Saccharomyces cerevisiae S288C: one gene and its partners. Changing the gene in region 3 together with the main gene of any one other region gives a genetic interaction. Each region holds a gene or a part of one and is shown on either strand. Other genes may lie near its edges.

The links. Genes that interact genetically often act in the same process or in processes that back each other up.
Region 1: mutations in FET5 (region 3) and FBP26 together harm fitness more than expected from each alone (negative genetic interaction), as found in Saccharomyces cerevisiae (2 studies listed by BioGRID).
Region 2: mutations in FET5 (region 3) and YLR046C together harm fitness more than expected from each alone (negative genetic interaction), as found in Saccharomyces cerevisiae (2 studies listed by BioGRID).

Annotation. Positions count from the first base shown.
Region 1 is NC_001142.9:128,785-132,548, reverse strand, and holds FBP26 (fructose-2,6-bisphosphatase), read left to right. Parts: upstream 1-1,905; coding exon 1,906-3,264; downstream 3,265-3,764. Other genes in the region: retromer subunit VPS35, read left to right, coding at 1-1,448; SSY5 (Ssy5p), read left to right, coding at 3,597-3,764. UniProt on the Saccharomyces cerevisiae protein: Monofunctional, high-specificity fructose-2,6-bisphosphatase, which releases phosphate from the 2-position of fructose 2,6-bisphosphate. Has no detectable 6-phosphofructo-2-kinase activity.
Region 2 is NC_001144.5:237,501-240,657, reverse strand, and holds YLR046C (uncharacterized protein), read left to right. Parts: upstream 1-1,844; coding exon 1,845-2,657; downstream 2,658-3,157. Other genes in the region: FRE8 (putative ferric-chelate reductase), read left to right, coding at 1-1,311; STU2 (Stu2p), read left to right, coding at 2,955-3,157.
Region 3 is NC_001138.5:45,760-52,213, reverse strand, and holds FET5 (ferroxidase FET5), read right to left. Parts: upstream 3,076-6,454; coding exon 1,207-3,075; downstream 1-1,206. Other genes in the region: YFL040W (uncharacterized protein), read right to left, coding at 1-864; YFL041W-A (uncharacterized protein), read right to left, coding at 3,289-3,480; LAM5 (Lam5p), read left to right, coding at 4,470-6,454. UniProt on the Saccharomyces cerevisiae protein: Iron transport multicopper oxidase, which is required for Fe(2+) high affinity uptake. May be required to oxidize Fe(2+) and release it from the transporter. Essential component of copper-dependent iron transport.

The sequences.
Region 1 (3,764 bases), on a different chromosome or scaffold from region 3:
AATCGAAACTGCATCCTCCAGGGCATTCCGCTTATTTAGTTATTGAGGACAAACTCCAAGTTCAGCGCCTGCTTTCAATCTGTGAGCCCTTAATAATATCAAGAAGCGGACCGCCCGCAAATGTTGCATCCTCGGATACAAATGTAGACGAAGTGTTTTTTAATCGACATGATGAAGAAGAATCCTGGATACTGGACCCAATACAGGAAAAGTTGGCACATTTGATTCATTGGATAATGAACACTACTTCTCGGAAACAAACAATGAAAAACAAAATTCAATTTAGCTTAGAAGCCCAATTGGAAATATTACTTCTTATTAAATCTTCGTTCATTAAAGGTGGCATCAATGTTAAATACACTTTTCCAGCAATAATCACAAATTTTTGGAAACTGATGAGGAAATGCCGTATGATACAAGAGTACCTTTTGAAAAAAAGACCCGATAACAAGACGTTACTTTCCCATTATTCCAATCTTTTAAAGCAAATGTTTAAATTTGTTTCTCGTTGTATCAATGATATCTTTAATTCTTGCAACAACTCATGCACAGATCTGATTCTGAAACTGAATTTACAATGTGCCATTCTAGCTGATCAATTGCAATTAAACGAAATTTCATATGATTTTTTCTCACAGGCCTTCACAATATTTGAAGAGTCTCTAAGTGATTCAAAGACTCAGTTACAGGCTTTAATATATATTGCTCAGTCTTTACAAAAGACAAGATCACTCTACAAAGAAGCTTATTATGATTCTTTGATTGTCAGATGCACACTCCATGGATCCAAATTATTAAAGAAACAAGACCAATGTCGTGCTGTTTATTTATGCTCCCACCTCTGGTGGGCAACGGAAATTTCAAATATTGGTGAGGAAGAAGGTATCACAGACAACTTCTACAGAGATGGTAAACGGGTGTTAGAATGTCTACAAAGGTCTCTCCGTGTGGCGGATTCTATAATGGATAACGAACAGAGTTGTGAGCTAATGGTCGAAATATTAAATAGATGCCTCTACTATTTTATTCACGGGGATGAGTCCGAAACTCATATATCGATAAAATACATCAATGGTCTGATCGAACTAATCAAAACAAACTTAAAATCGCTAAAACTAGAAGATAACAGTGCCTCTATGATTACCAACTCAATCAGTGATTTGCACATCACCGGAGAAAATAATGTGAAGGCAAGCAGTAATGCTGACGATGGCTCTGTAATCACAGATAAGGAATCAAATGTTGCCATAGGATCGGATGGTACGTATATTCAATTAAATACTCTGAACGGATCTTCCACGCTAATACGCGGAGTCGTAGCAACTGCTTCAGGTAGTAAATTACTGCACCAACTGAAGTATATCCCAATCCACCATTTTCGACGCACTTGTGAGTACATTGAAAGTCAAAGAGAAGTTGACGATCGTTTCAAAGTCATATATGTATAGTTAAATAACGTACTTGCTCTTCGTACATGCCCAAGATAAAAAAAAACTACACAAATAAAGCTAATAAAAATTTACCTAAAGAAGGATCATAGATTAAGTGGAAGGAAACTTGTACATAATTCGAGTTTATTTTCAACTAAGATATCAAGGATTGTTTACTATAAAAACACTTAATTGGGTAATTTCTATTTTTTACTTTTTTTCTGTGTTAAAAAAATGGGTCGCGCCAATGCGCTCACAAATCTATTCTTATCCCTAACTTACATCTACATGTAAAGCGCCACTAAGAGAGCTATAGCTTATCATACATTTACATCAGGTAAAGTATCATTTTGGCCAGTGGATACGAATTTAATATATAATCTTTGCTTTCCCTTCGCTCTTAAATTCACCAAGCAAGTTTGTTAAGAAATAAAGGAAAGGGGGCTCAAAAACCGAATCAAGTAAGACAAGAAACATGGGGTACAGTACTATTTCCAACGATAATGATATCAAAGTATGTGTGATAATGGTTGGCCTACCAGCTAGAGGAAAGTCTTTTATTTCCCAAAAAATTATCAGGTACTTATCGTGGTTATCCATAAAAGCCAAGTGTTTTAATGTGGGAAATTACAGAAGAGACGTGAGTGGAAATGTCCCAATGGATGCTGAGTTTTTTAACTTCGAAAATACAGATAATTTTAAACTCAGAGAATTGGCTGCCCAAAATGCCATAAAAGATATTGTTAATTTTTTTACTAAAGAAGACGGATCTGTGGCAGTTTTCGATGCTACTAATAGTACACGTAAAAGAAGGAAATGGCTTAAAGATATATGTGAAAAGAATAATATTCAACCGATGTTTTTAGAGAGCTGGAGTAACGATCATGAACTGATTATAAATAACGCTAAGGATATCGGTAGCACATCTCCTGATTATGAAAACTCTGAACCTCATGTGGCGGAAGCTGATTTTTTGGAAAGAATTAGACAATATGAAAGATTTTATGAACCTTTGGACCCCCAAAAAGATAAGGATATGACGTTCATTAAGTTGGTCAATATTATTGAAGAAGTAGTAATTAATAAGATCAGAACATATTTGGAAAGTAGGATTGTATTTTATGTTATGAATATTCGTCCTAAACCAAAATATATCTGGCTCTCCCGTCACGGCGAATCGATCTATAACGTAGAGAAAAAAATTGGCGGGGATTCATCACTGTCTGAAAGAGGCTTTCAGTACGCTAAAAAATTGGAGCAGTTAGTGAAAGAGAGCGCAGGAGAAATAAATTTGACCGTGTGGACTTCCACCTTAAAAAGAACACAACAAACGGCAAATTATCTTCCCTATAAGAAACTGCAATGGAAAGCACTTGATGAATTAGACGCTGGCGTTTGTGACGGAATGACGTATGAGGAAATTGAAAAAGAATATCCTGAAGATTTTAAAGCACGTGATAATGACAAATACGAGTACAGATATCGTGGTGGAGAATCATACAGAGATGTAGTGATTCGTTTAGAGCCCGTCATTATGGAATTGGAGCGCCAAGAAAATGTTCTCATTATAACTCATCAAGCCGTACTTCGGTGTATATATGCATATTTTATGAACGTTCCACAGGAGGAATCCCCTTGGATGTCAATCCCACTACACACATTGATCAAGCTGGAGCCTAGGGCCTATGGCACAAAGGTCACCAAAATTAAAGCAAACATCCCTGCAGTGAGTACATATAAAGAGAAGGGTACAAGCCAAGTAGGTGAGCTTTCTCAAAGCTCAACTAAACTTCATCAACTGCTCAATGACTCTCCTTTGGAAGACAAATTTTAAATTTTACTTTTTATTTTTGTGTATCTTAAGTCCAAGCTTACTTGTGGCTGATACGCACAATCTTTTATGTACGAAAAGATCAGGAAACGTAGCATTGATGGTTTTTTATGTACGTCTGCAGCATTGTATGTAATTATTACCCAAACTAATTTTAAGTGAAATTGTAGAACGCCGCGGCGGAAGTATTTTTGAGTAAAAAAAAAAAAGTAAGATTCGAAAATGAAATTATACAGTACAGAAAACGTAAATATACAATAAAGGTTGAATAAACATACTAGATATCCTCCTTTCTTTTTGCATGTACATAGTACTGGTGTAAACTCGATATACCGATGGTCAGATTTTTTGGTTTAAACAAGAAAAAGAACGAAGAAAAGGAAAATACAGACTTGCCTGCAGACAATGAACAAAACGCAGCAGAAACGTCGTCTAGCAACGTATCTGGAAATGAAGAAAGAATAGACCCAAACAGTCATGATACGAACCCTGAAAATGCAAAC
Region 2 (3,157 bases), on a different chromosome or scaffold from region 3:
ATATTAACGGGACAAATCGTCTATAGGCTCCATATCACCAATGTTACGAGAGTTACGATAGTACCCATTTCTTCATCATTGTCTCTTTTGGAGTTCCCATTAACCGATTTACCCAAAAAGCCCATCCTACCAGGAGGGCATCTAAGGATCAACATTTACCATAGAAATTTTTTAAGGAGGTTTTTCTCCCATTTGATACCCTTCCAACATCCTTTTACTATTGCTAGTATTCCAAGTGATAATTTGGTCAGGTTAATTATTAGAAACGGGCATTTTCCATTGCGTACAAATGAAAAGTATTACATTACAGGGGCTTTTGAACCTGAGTTGAGTTTCATTTCTAAACCTACTGTTCCTTTTAATATTACCACGAAATCTTCCAAGAATCCATTTCGAAACAATTCTTCTGCACTAATAAATTCGCCTTTAAATTTTCTAATTAAAGCGCAAAGAGTGTTTATGTGTGTTGGAGGTTCAGGAATTTCCTTTGGCTTACCACTACTTCGTATTCTAAACTTCAACGGTGTAAACGTTAGGCTCCTTTGGGTTTCTAGAGATTATAAGGATCTGGAAGTATTGAACCACTTCAAAAACAATTTTGAAGGTATGGAGATATATATTAGTGGCACCGAAGGCAACGAACAGGACATAGAAATTGATTATATTGACTATCATGACTGCGCTGCTGATATTAATGATGAAGTCAGGAGTATTTCTTCGAGCGGCCGAGTTTCAGAACTGGGAGATAATTCCATGTTATCAGATGGAAATCCCCAACCTACGGAGCCCAATGAGAACACAGCCCTTCTAAGTAAGAAATCTACCTTGAGAAACCATCACCCACCAAAAACAAGTGATATACCTGACATCAATGCTGATGACGAGATAGATTTTACATATGCTTTTAGCAGATCCAAATCAAGGAAAAATACTGCACAAGGAACTCTAACTACACATTCTTCGTTTAACGGATCGAGCGTTTTCAGACAACCAAAGATCATTGAGCCACCTGCCCAAGATCCTTGTTTAGAGGCGGCGCCTAAAAAGATCAGAATTCCCGCAGGTGTTAAAGTGTTCTTTGGCAGGCCTACACTTGGAGATAAGGATTATGAATGGTGTCTGCAAACCGAATGTGATGCAGAGACGGATTCTATTCAATGTTGCAGGTGGGCGAATCAAGGCAGAGACCATGCTGAATATTTGTCACAAGTATGGGTTCTCGCTGCAGGCCCTAGAGGCTTAATTGAAAGCACCAAAAGATGGGCGACAGATGGTGGTTTACACTTTCACGGAGAAAGTTTTGCATTATAAGAGTTGCAAGTTGGCTATTAGTTTATGAGGCTTGGAAAATTCACGTATTTGATGGTGGCATATCTATAATGTCCCGTTTTGCTCTTTAATCTTACTGTCAAAAAAGGGCCCTATGTACGATCTTTTCTAACTGATTTTTTCCGAGAAAAGTTCCGCAGGCTGATTTAGTTTTTTTCTGGTGGTTGTCAAGCCTCTCTCCACTTGGTGATAGTTGCGAAAAATGACAGCGGATATTAATGGATATTAGCGGGAATAAGCACATTTCCATATTGATTATTTGTATGTCTAGCAACTTATAAGATGAATTATAAAAGGCATATAAGTTCTTCTTGGTACTGAATACATGACACTCTCACTACTGTACTAGAGACTTATTGTCGATAAAAGAACTCAACTGCCTCAATAGGAATTTTTTTACTAAAGCAATCACTGATTATGAAGGTTTTTATGCATACAATCCTCACAAAGGTGCAGCGATTGCATTTGTCGTTCTGTTTGGCATTTTAATCCTTTCTGCCTTGGTGCAGATCATAATGGCAACACACACGAGCAAGAGACGTATTCATCGCTGGGAAAACAATGAGTTGTCAGAGGAAAATTCCACAATAATATACTTTCCTGCCCGCGGTTTGATGTGGACACATTTTCCTTTCGTTTTAGGGATTTGTTTAGAGTTCGTGGGTTATGTGTTGAAAATAGTCTTTATCAATAGCCCCTCGATTTCGACTTTCATTGCTCAATCGGTGCTTCTATTGATAGCACCTTCACTTTACGCCCTTAGTATTTTTATGTTGTTCAGCAAAATGGCACGTCTAATTCTTATGGAGGCATATATGTTAATTCCTGCGAAATTTAGTACAGTTTCTTTCGTAGTGGCAGATATGATTGGGCGTGTCCTACAGGCTGTAGGAGGTGGGTTGTTATCCTCATGGAACAGCAGGAATACTGGGCGTATCCTAATTATTGTGGGTCTTTTCATTCAGATATTTTGTTATACCTTTTTAACGTTCAGTCAACTTTTTCTTCACTATAAAATGAAGGCAACGCCTAGTAAAATTGTGCGGGATAGTAATGAATGGTTCCAGTACAATTTTATACTTTTAGCTGGGATATTGCTGGTTAATGGTAGAACCATTGTCAGAGTAGTACAATTTCTAATGGGCTTACAAAGCTATATAGGTCAGCACGAATGGTGCCTTTACGTTTTCGATACAGTTCTAATGTTTTTACTACCTTTGATTTTCCTAGCAACCTTTCGCGCAAGAAATTTGTTCAAGCTGCAGGATAAATCTGTCAATATTCAATTAAACAAATTATTAGACAAGGAATCTGTGTCTGAAGATTAAGTAGTCAAAAATTTATTAATTAAATAGTTGGATAATATTTGTGCTGGGCATTAGAAGTCAATCTTGTCTTTTCCTTTATATGGTGCAAAGATTATCATGGTTAACGAATCTATTTTTTTTCGTGTCGTTTTTGTTTTTGTTTTTGTTTTTGTTTTGTCTGCTTGACACTCCATAGGAAGAGTAAATGAAGAACCTACCAGACCTAGGGACCAAATAGCATTACTAAACTACAAAGAAACAGCTATCTTTACAGTGTAAAGTATTTTTGAGTTTTTATTAAAGAGTTTGAAGTTGACTATGTCAGGAGAAGAAGAAGTAGATTATACAACGTTACCCCTAGAAGAGCGATTAACGTACAAGTTATGGAAGGCACGTTTAGAAGCTTATAAGGAGTTAAACCAGCTTTTTAGAAACTCCGTTGGCGACATCAGTAGGGATGACAACATACAAATTTACTGGAGGGATCCTACATTATTTGCACAATATATAACTGATTCTAA
Region 3 (6,454 bases):
AAATTGAACCAATAACTGTAAAGTCATTCCAAGAATCAAAGGCTTAAACGAACCCCGAGGTAATTTTTTGGAGAAGTCCAAATCATTAACTCCAATCCAAAAATCTCCTGCTAATTCGATCTTACTCATCTCAGGGACTGCATCCCTTGGCTGGCTTTCATTAAACTTTTTGGCTAAATTGTGCTGAATTTCCTGAGCTTCACTCATCTTCCCATGTAGTACTAGCCAGTGATAAGATTCAGGTAGAGCGTAGCTAGCCATCCAGAACAGTAATCCAGGAATGATTCCTATGCACCACGCTATACGGAACGCAAAATGAGAATCCCATAGACTTAATGCAATGCACAAATAATGCATAACAAGAATTCCAATGGTTAAACACAATTGAATATAGCTCATCGTACTTCCACGCTTGCCGCGGGGGATAACTTCATTTGCGTAGGATGCTACTAAAATTGAAAAGTTCCCAAGGATCATACCCTTGATCATCCGGCAAATTAGTAAACCTAATATATCCCAAATACAAAAGTTCAATAACGTAACAATATTCCATATTATTATTCCCGATTGAAATTGATATATTCTACTGAATCTATCATTCATTATGCAGCAAATAAAACATCCCATGATACCACCCAGGGGGGTGGACCCCATGAGTAAACCTTGTTGTAAAGGAGTTGGATACTTGAAGTACTCATTAAACGTTTTGTTTGTGAGAAAAGTTGCCAATGACGGCACCTCAAGGCCCATTATAAATCCTACTAGTGTCAATATCGCCGTAATTTTCGTAACTTCATAAGTTTTTGTAATTTTGATTTTCGGCATCTTGGGAAGTCTCCAGACAATAGCTTTCATTGCTGTCATTGTGCTTAATAATTTTTAAAGTATAATGTTAGAAACTGTACTTGTTCTTTCTTTTTTCTCTTCTCATATTACACTTATTGAATATTTTGTTTTTTGATTTTCATCCTTTTTTTGTGACGTTCTTGGCTGAGCGTCACAACGTCAGAGCTAAAACAACGAAATAAAAGAGAAAAAAAAAGCAATAGATTTGATTACGTATGAATATTATATAGGGAATGGAATGAACAAAATGAAAATACTCAATAGTAAGCAGTATTTACAGTGCTACATTTTTTTTAGGATTGCAAATCATCAATATGAATATAAACTTCTTTCATTTTTCTTTTATATTTTCTTGTTTAATTAGCCGCGAGAAACCTCTATTTCATTTTCAGCCAAGATTTCCCTTAACGTGTGGTACACCTTCTCATCGTTAGGGATAACCTCGCCAATACCATACTGAGCAATGGAATATAGGCCCCAGACACCGATAATGGTTGAAATAATCAATGCCAAATATCCTTCAGTAGTAAATCCCTTTGGTAGTGGCTCAGGTTGTCTTGGTAATCCTTTTAAGTCAAACCAATCATTCGAATGACCTGCAGCATTACCAACTACCGGAATATCAGCGGCTTTGCATATATCCAGATAGTTCTCATTAAGCTTTTCCCTTTCCTGAAGTAAAACGGGTGCCTCAATAAAGACCGAAGCCAAACCTTGTTGTAAGTGCCAATCTACATGACAATGGAAATACCAGACACCAGGGTTGTCAGCTCTAAATCTCAGGACAACATGTCCACTAGGTTCAAGAACCACTGTATCTCTCACCATCGGCCTCTCAGGGAACGGTTGTAATGGCGCAGATTCGTTATAAGGGACGGTCATTTCATCTTGCTCAGATTCGTCATAAGCTTCATCAACATGGAACCCTGGCGACTTTTGGACTATTTGGAAATTATGACCGTGCAAATGGAATGGATGTCTGCCAGAATCATAATTGTTTAGAACAACCTCTATGATATCATTATGTTTCAATAACTGCGCATTGATATTATCACCATAAATTCTAGGATCTGACGCAAGCTTTCCTGAGGTAAGCAACGTTGTCAAAGTAGGCACCTTTGGTGTGACGTAAGTGATATTATTGAAAAATGCATACTTCACACCATCACCCAAGTTGACCATTCTTACATCCATGACAATTTGGTGGTCATAGTGAGCAAGTAGGTCTCTCTCAATCAGAGGTTCTAGGTAAAAGTCATTCGTGGCGCGGTCCAAGTCACAATCTTCAATGTTCAATGCGCGTGCCTCCGGCAACGAGTGGCCATACCTCATTTGGATAGTTTGGTTGAGTTGTAACTCAGGTGGGACAACATCAAGCATCGTCTCATCCATTATTTGCATCATAGCGTAGTTTCTTGTAGGCATTTTATCTTTAGCTTTAATCAACACACTCATTCTTTGCCCCGCAGAAAGATATATCGAATCAGTAAAGTTTGGCTTTACGTAAACACCGTCCACCTCTACTATACTCATTTCATGATCCTCAAGAATGATATACTGGGATACAAACAGCCCAACGTTCAAGAACCTGAAGAGATACGTTTCACCGGGTGTAAAATCTAAAGTTACATTCATCGTATTATTAAAAAGAATATTTTGAGGAATAGGTTCAGCACCGGTTGGATTATATCTTGACAGAAACTCTTTGGTAACCGTTTTATAATTTTCGTGATAATGGTCCGATAGAGTGATGACTCGTTCATGATCATATTCGAAGGGCTCCTCCGGATCGTGGATGATAAATGCACCCCTCATACCGTCACCGTACTGGGCACCCATGTGTGCATGGTACCAGAACGTTCCTACCTGCTCTGGGACAGTGAAGTTGTACAGGTATGTTTGTCCCGGAACGATGGGACATTGTGTCACCATAGAAGGACCATCCATTTGAAGCTGGTTCCCCAAACTCGTATTCTGGAAAAGACCATGGAAATGTAGAGAAGTAGCAGTATTGTCTTGAAAGCCGTTAGTCAAATAAAGCTCAACACGATCTCCTTTTTCAACATGGATATCTGGAAGTGGCCATTCGCCATTAAAACCAATCATCCTTTTTTCATGCAATCCATCAGGATTGGCAGTTACCCAAGAAGCGGTATAGTTTAACTTATGTGTCTTTGCCAAAGCAACACTAGCGGCCAGTACAGACCACACGAACGAGTAGAACAACATCGTTTCTTGTCTTCCTGTGCTTGATTCTTTCTTCTTTCATTCGGAACTCTTTTTTTACGTCTTCGTATTTTCTGTGATCTTATATAAAAATGTATGTATTATAAGAATCGATGGCGAAACAGGGTGCAGACTGAATACAAAAGCCACAAAGTAATAAAACAAGAATATTAAAAATATTTAGATACAGTTCGATAAATTCTATAAACACCTTACCTATCTTAGCTTGAGCAGCTTTTTTGAAAGGAAATCAACCAGTAGCCTATCGGTAATCAACTCATAGACATTAATACAATCCCTAGACATCAAATCAATGGCCAAGGAGTAGTCACCATCGTCATACTTGAATTTCACTTTATATGTAATCTCTCTGAAGGAATCTCGTTGGGAGGGTCCCCACATTTTCATTCGAGGGGTGGATATCAACCTACTTAACTGTTCCACCGTTCTTGACACATTTTAGCATATTCTCAACGCTCTTTTGAGTACCTGAGGACTCGAATCCATCAGGCTTCCTTTTTTTCTGATTATAGCAGTTCTTCATAGCGTTTATAAACTGTCCATTTTGCTCTTTCTTGGAATCATGTGTACTCATGAACACCAAACCCTCTGAGTACCGCACCCGCCAGCAGATCAATTGTTCCAGCACCTATAACTACAGCTTACTCCCCACACTTCAGCTAGGACGGCCTTACTACATGGAGAGCGACAAATAGTGGCATCTACAGAGGACTCTTGCTAGAAATTCACTGTAACGGTAATCAGTAAACGCAGTCGACGTTAACCACGAACTCTTGACAAAGGGTGCCGTCACGGTCAGTGATGCAGCAAATGGTATGTTGAGCTGCAAACTATAATGGCCTCACAGAAACTCTTTGGTAAACCTATTTGGGTATGAGGGCTATATGCTTACTGCATCACCCGCTTTACAGTAGTTTGAGATACTTCAATTTCAAGAACAGCACCGTTGGATTCGTGGCCCAAAGTCATGGGCTTCCCAGGTTACTTTACGCTGACCTGGCCATCCGTGTAGTAGTGAATGTCTGATCCGCAGATTCCAATAGCCTTCACTTAAACTTTGACCTGTGACATCACGTTGGCTTGGCAACTTTCTGAATCTCTTTCATGTTTGGTTCAAAACATTTGATAGCTTTCTGCATTGTGTTGAGTGGAGGTCAGAAGGTCAGATATTACCAATTACCGTCATCCTCAATGTCACTCATGATAGAATGTTTGCTTTATGTCTGAGATCAGAGAGATCGCGTATCGCTGAGCAGGGGGACTTGTTTCTCCCACCCTTTTTCATAAAGCATCTTGACAATTATATTAAAACACTCAACCATTTCGCTATCTGAGAAAAGGGTGAAGAAGGCAACTACACAAAAAGATTAGTGGTGATGTCGGATGTAGATAACTGGGAACCCGTATCAGATAATGAGGACAGTACTGATTCTGTGAAACAATTGGGTCCCCCCTTTGAGCATGCAAGTAACAATGACAATGCCGGCGATACTGAAGCTGAGTCACTGCAAGAAGTGCCCCTAAATACAGAGACCAACGACGTACGCAAGAATTTAGTAGTGATTACAAACCAAAGTGCCGCCGATGAACACCCTACAGAGATCAAGCACGATCAATCAAGGACTTCTTCGACGTCCTCGTTCTTCAGTGGAATGATCTCTTCGTTTAAGTCAAACGTGCCATCCCCAGTTTCTAGATCAACTACGCCAACTTCGCCAGTTTCGCAACCAAGCATTATATCACATAGAAGGGAGCCTTCCATGGGGTCCAAAAGAAGATCAAGCCGCCGTATCAGTAATGCCACAATTGCTGAAATAGGCTCTCCCTTGCAACAGGTGGAAAAGCCTGATGAGGTCAAGACAAGACTCACTCCTTCCCAAATGAAAGAAGACAATTACGATCATAGACGATTCGTGGAAGAACGTTACATGGACACACCTTATCACTATGCGTCTGAGCAAAGAAATAAAGACTTTCATGAGACATTCAAGTCCGTTCCTAAAGATGACAGACTACTGGATGATTTTAATTGTGGGCTGAATAGAGAGCTGCTTTACCAGGGGAAACTATACATAACAGAAACGCATCTCTGCTTCAACTCCAATGTTCTTGGTTGGATTGCTAAAGTACTGATTGCGTTCGAAGATGTCACGTTTATGGAAAAAACTTCTGCTGCTGGGTTGTTCCCCAGCGCAATATCCATCGAAACAAAGATGGGCAAAACTCTCTTTAATGGTTTTATATCCAGGGATGCTGCATTTGGATTAATGAAAGAAGTGTGGTCAAGAACCTTGTTGCAGAAGGACATGGCCAGCGAAAACATCAATACTAAAGCAGAAAAGTCAGGAAATGGCAAAGAGATTGATGATGCAATAAACTCCATCGATGAGGAAAACAATGATAAAGACGCTAATGATAATGACACTAATGAAAATGACGATGAAAATATCTCTACAAATGAGACTACCCCCAATAGTACGAGTTCCTCGCCGGATAAAGAAAAAGAGAAAGCGTATAAACTGCGTGCCGATTCCTCGTATCAGTATGATGGTCCAATATATCATCATTCAACAAGCTTTCCGGCTGAACCTATGGCCAATAACGAGTTTGTTCTCAAGGAGTTACCATTCGATTGTGCACCTGGTATACTTTTTGAGATCATGTTCAACTCAGAGCAAAACGAATTTCTTCTAGATTTTTTACGGGGTCAAGAAGGTTCACAAATTACCACTATTCCAAATTTCACGAGCATTGACGGATCTTCCATGACTTTGAAGCGTGAGTATTCATACGAGAAAGCATTGCACTTTCCTGCGGGGCCCAAGTCCACGACATGTTATGTTGCTGAGGTAATAAAGAGAAAAGATCCTGATACTTACTATGAGGTTATCAGTAGCATACGCACTCCGAACGTGCCCAGTGGTGGTAGTTTCTCAACTAAGACAAGGTATCTAATCCGTTGGAATGACGAAATAACGTGTCTGTTACGGGTATCCTTTTGGGTGGAATGGACTGGTTCCAGTTGGATCAAAGGTATGGTTGAAAATGGATGCAAGAATGGTCAATTGGAGGCTGCGCAATTAATGGAGCGTATTCTTTCCAAGTTCATCAAGAACAATGTCGAAGAGTGCCAAATTACTATCAGCAAGGAGGAAGAGGAGCAAGATGATAAAGAAGTAAAAAATAAGTTGAAAGAGGTTGACCTTGAACAACCAAGAGAAGCGGTTGTTACGGCTCCCGCAATTGCAGAGCAGCAAGGTCTCAAGGTCACCATGGAAACATGGTTGTTCTTATACTTGATTGTGGTCGTTTTGCTATTGTTTAATCTGTTCTACATACGTTCAATTGCTGTCTCATTACA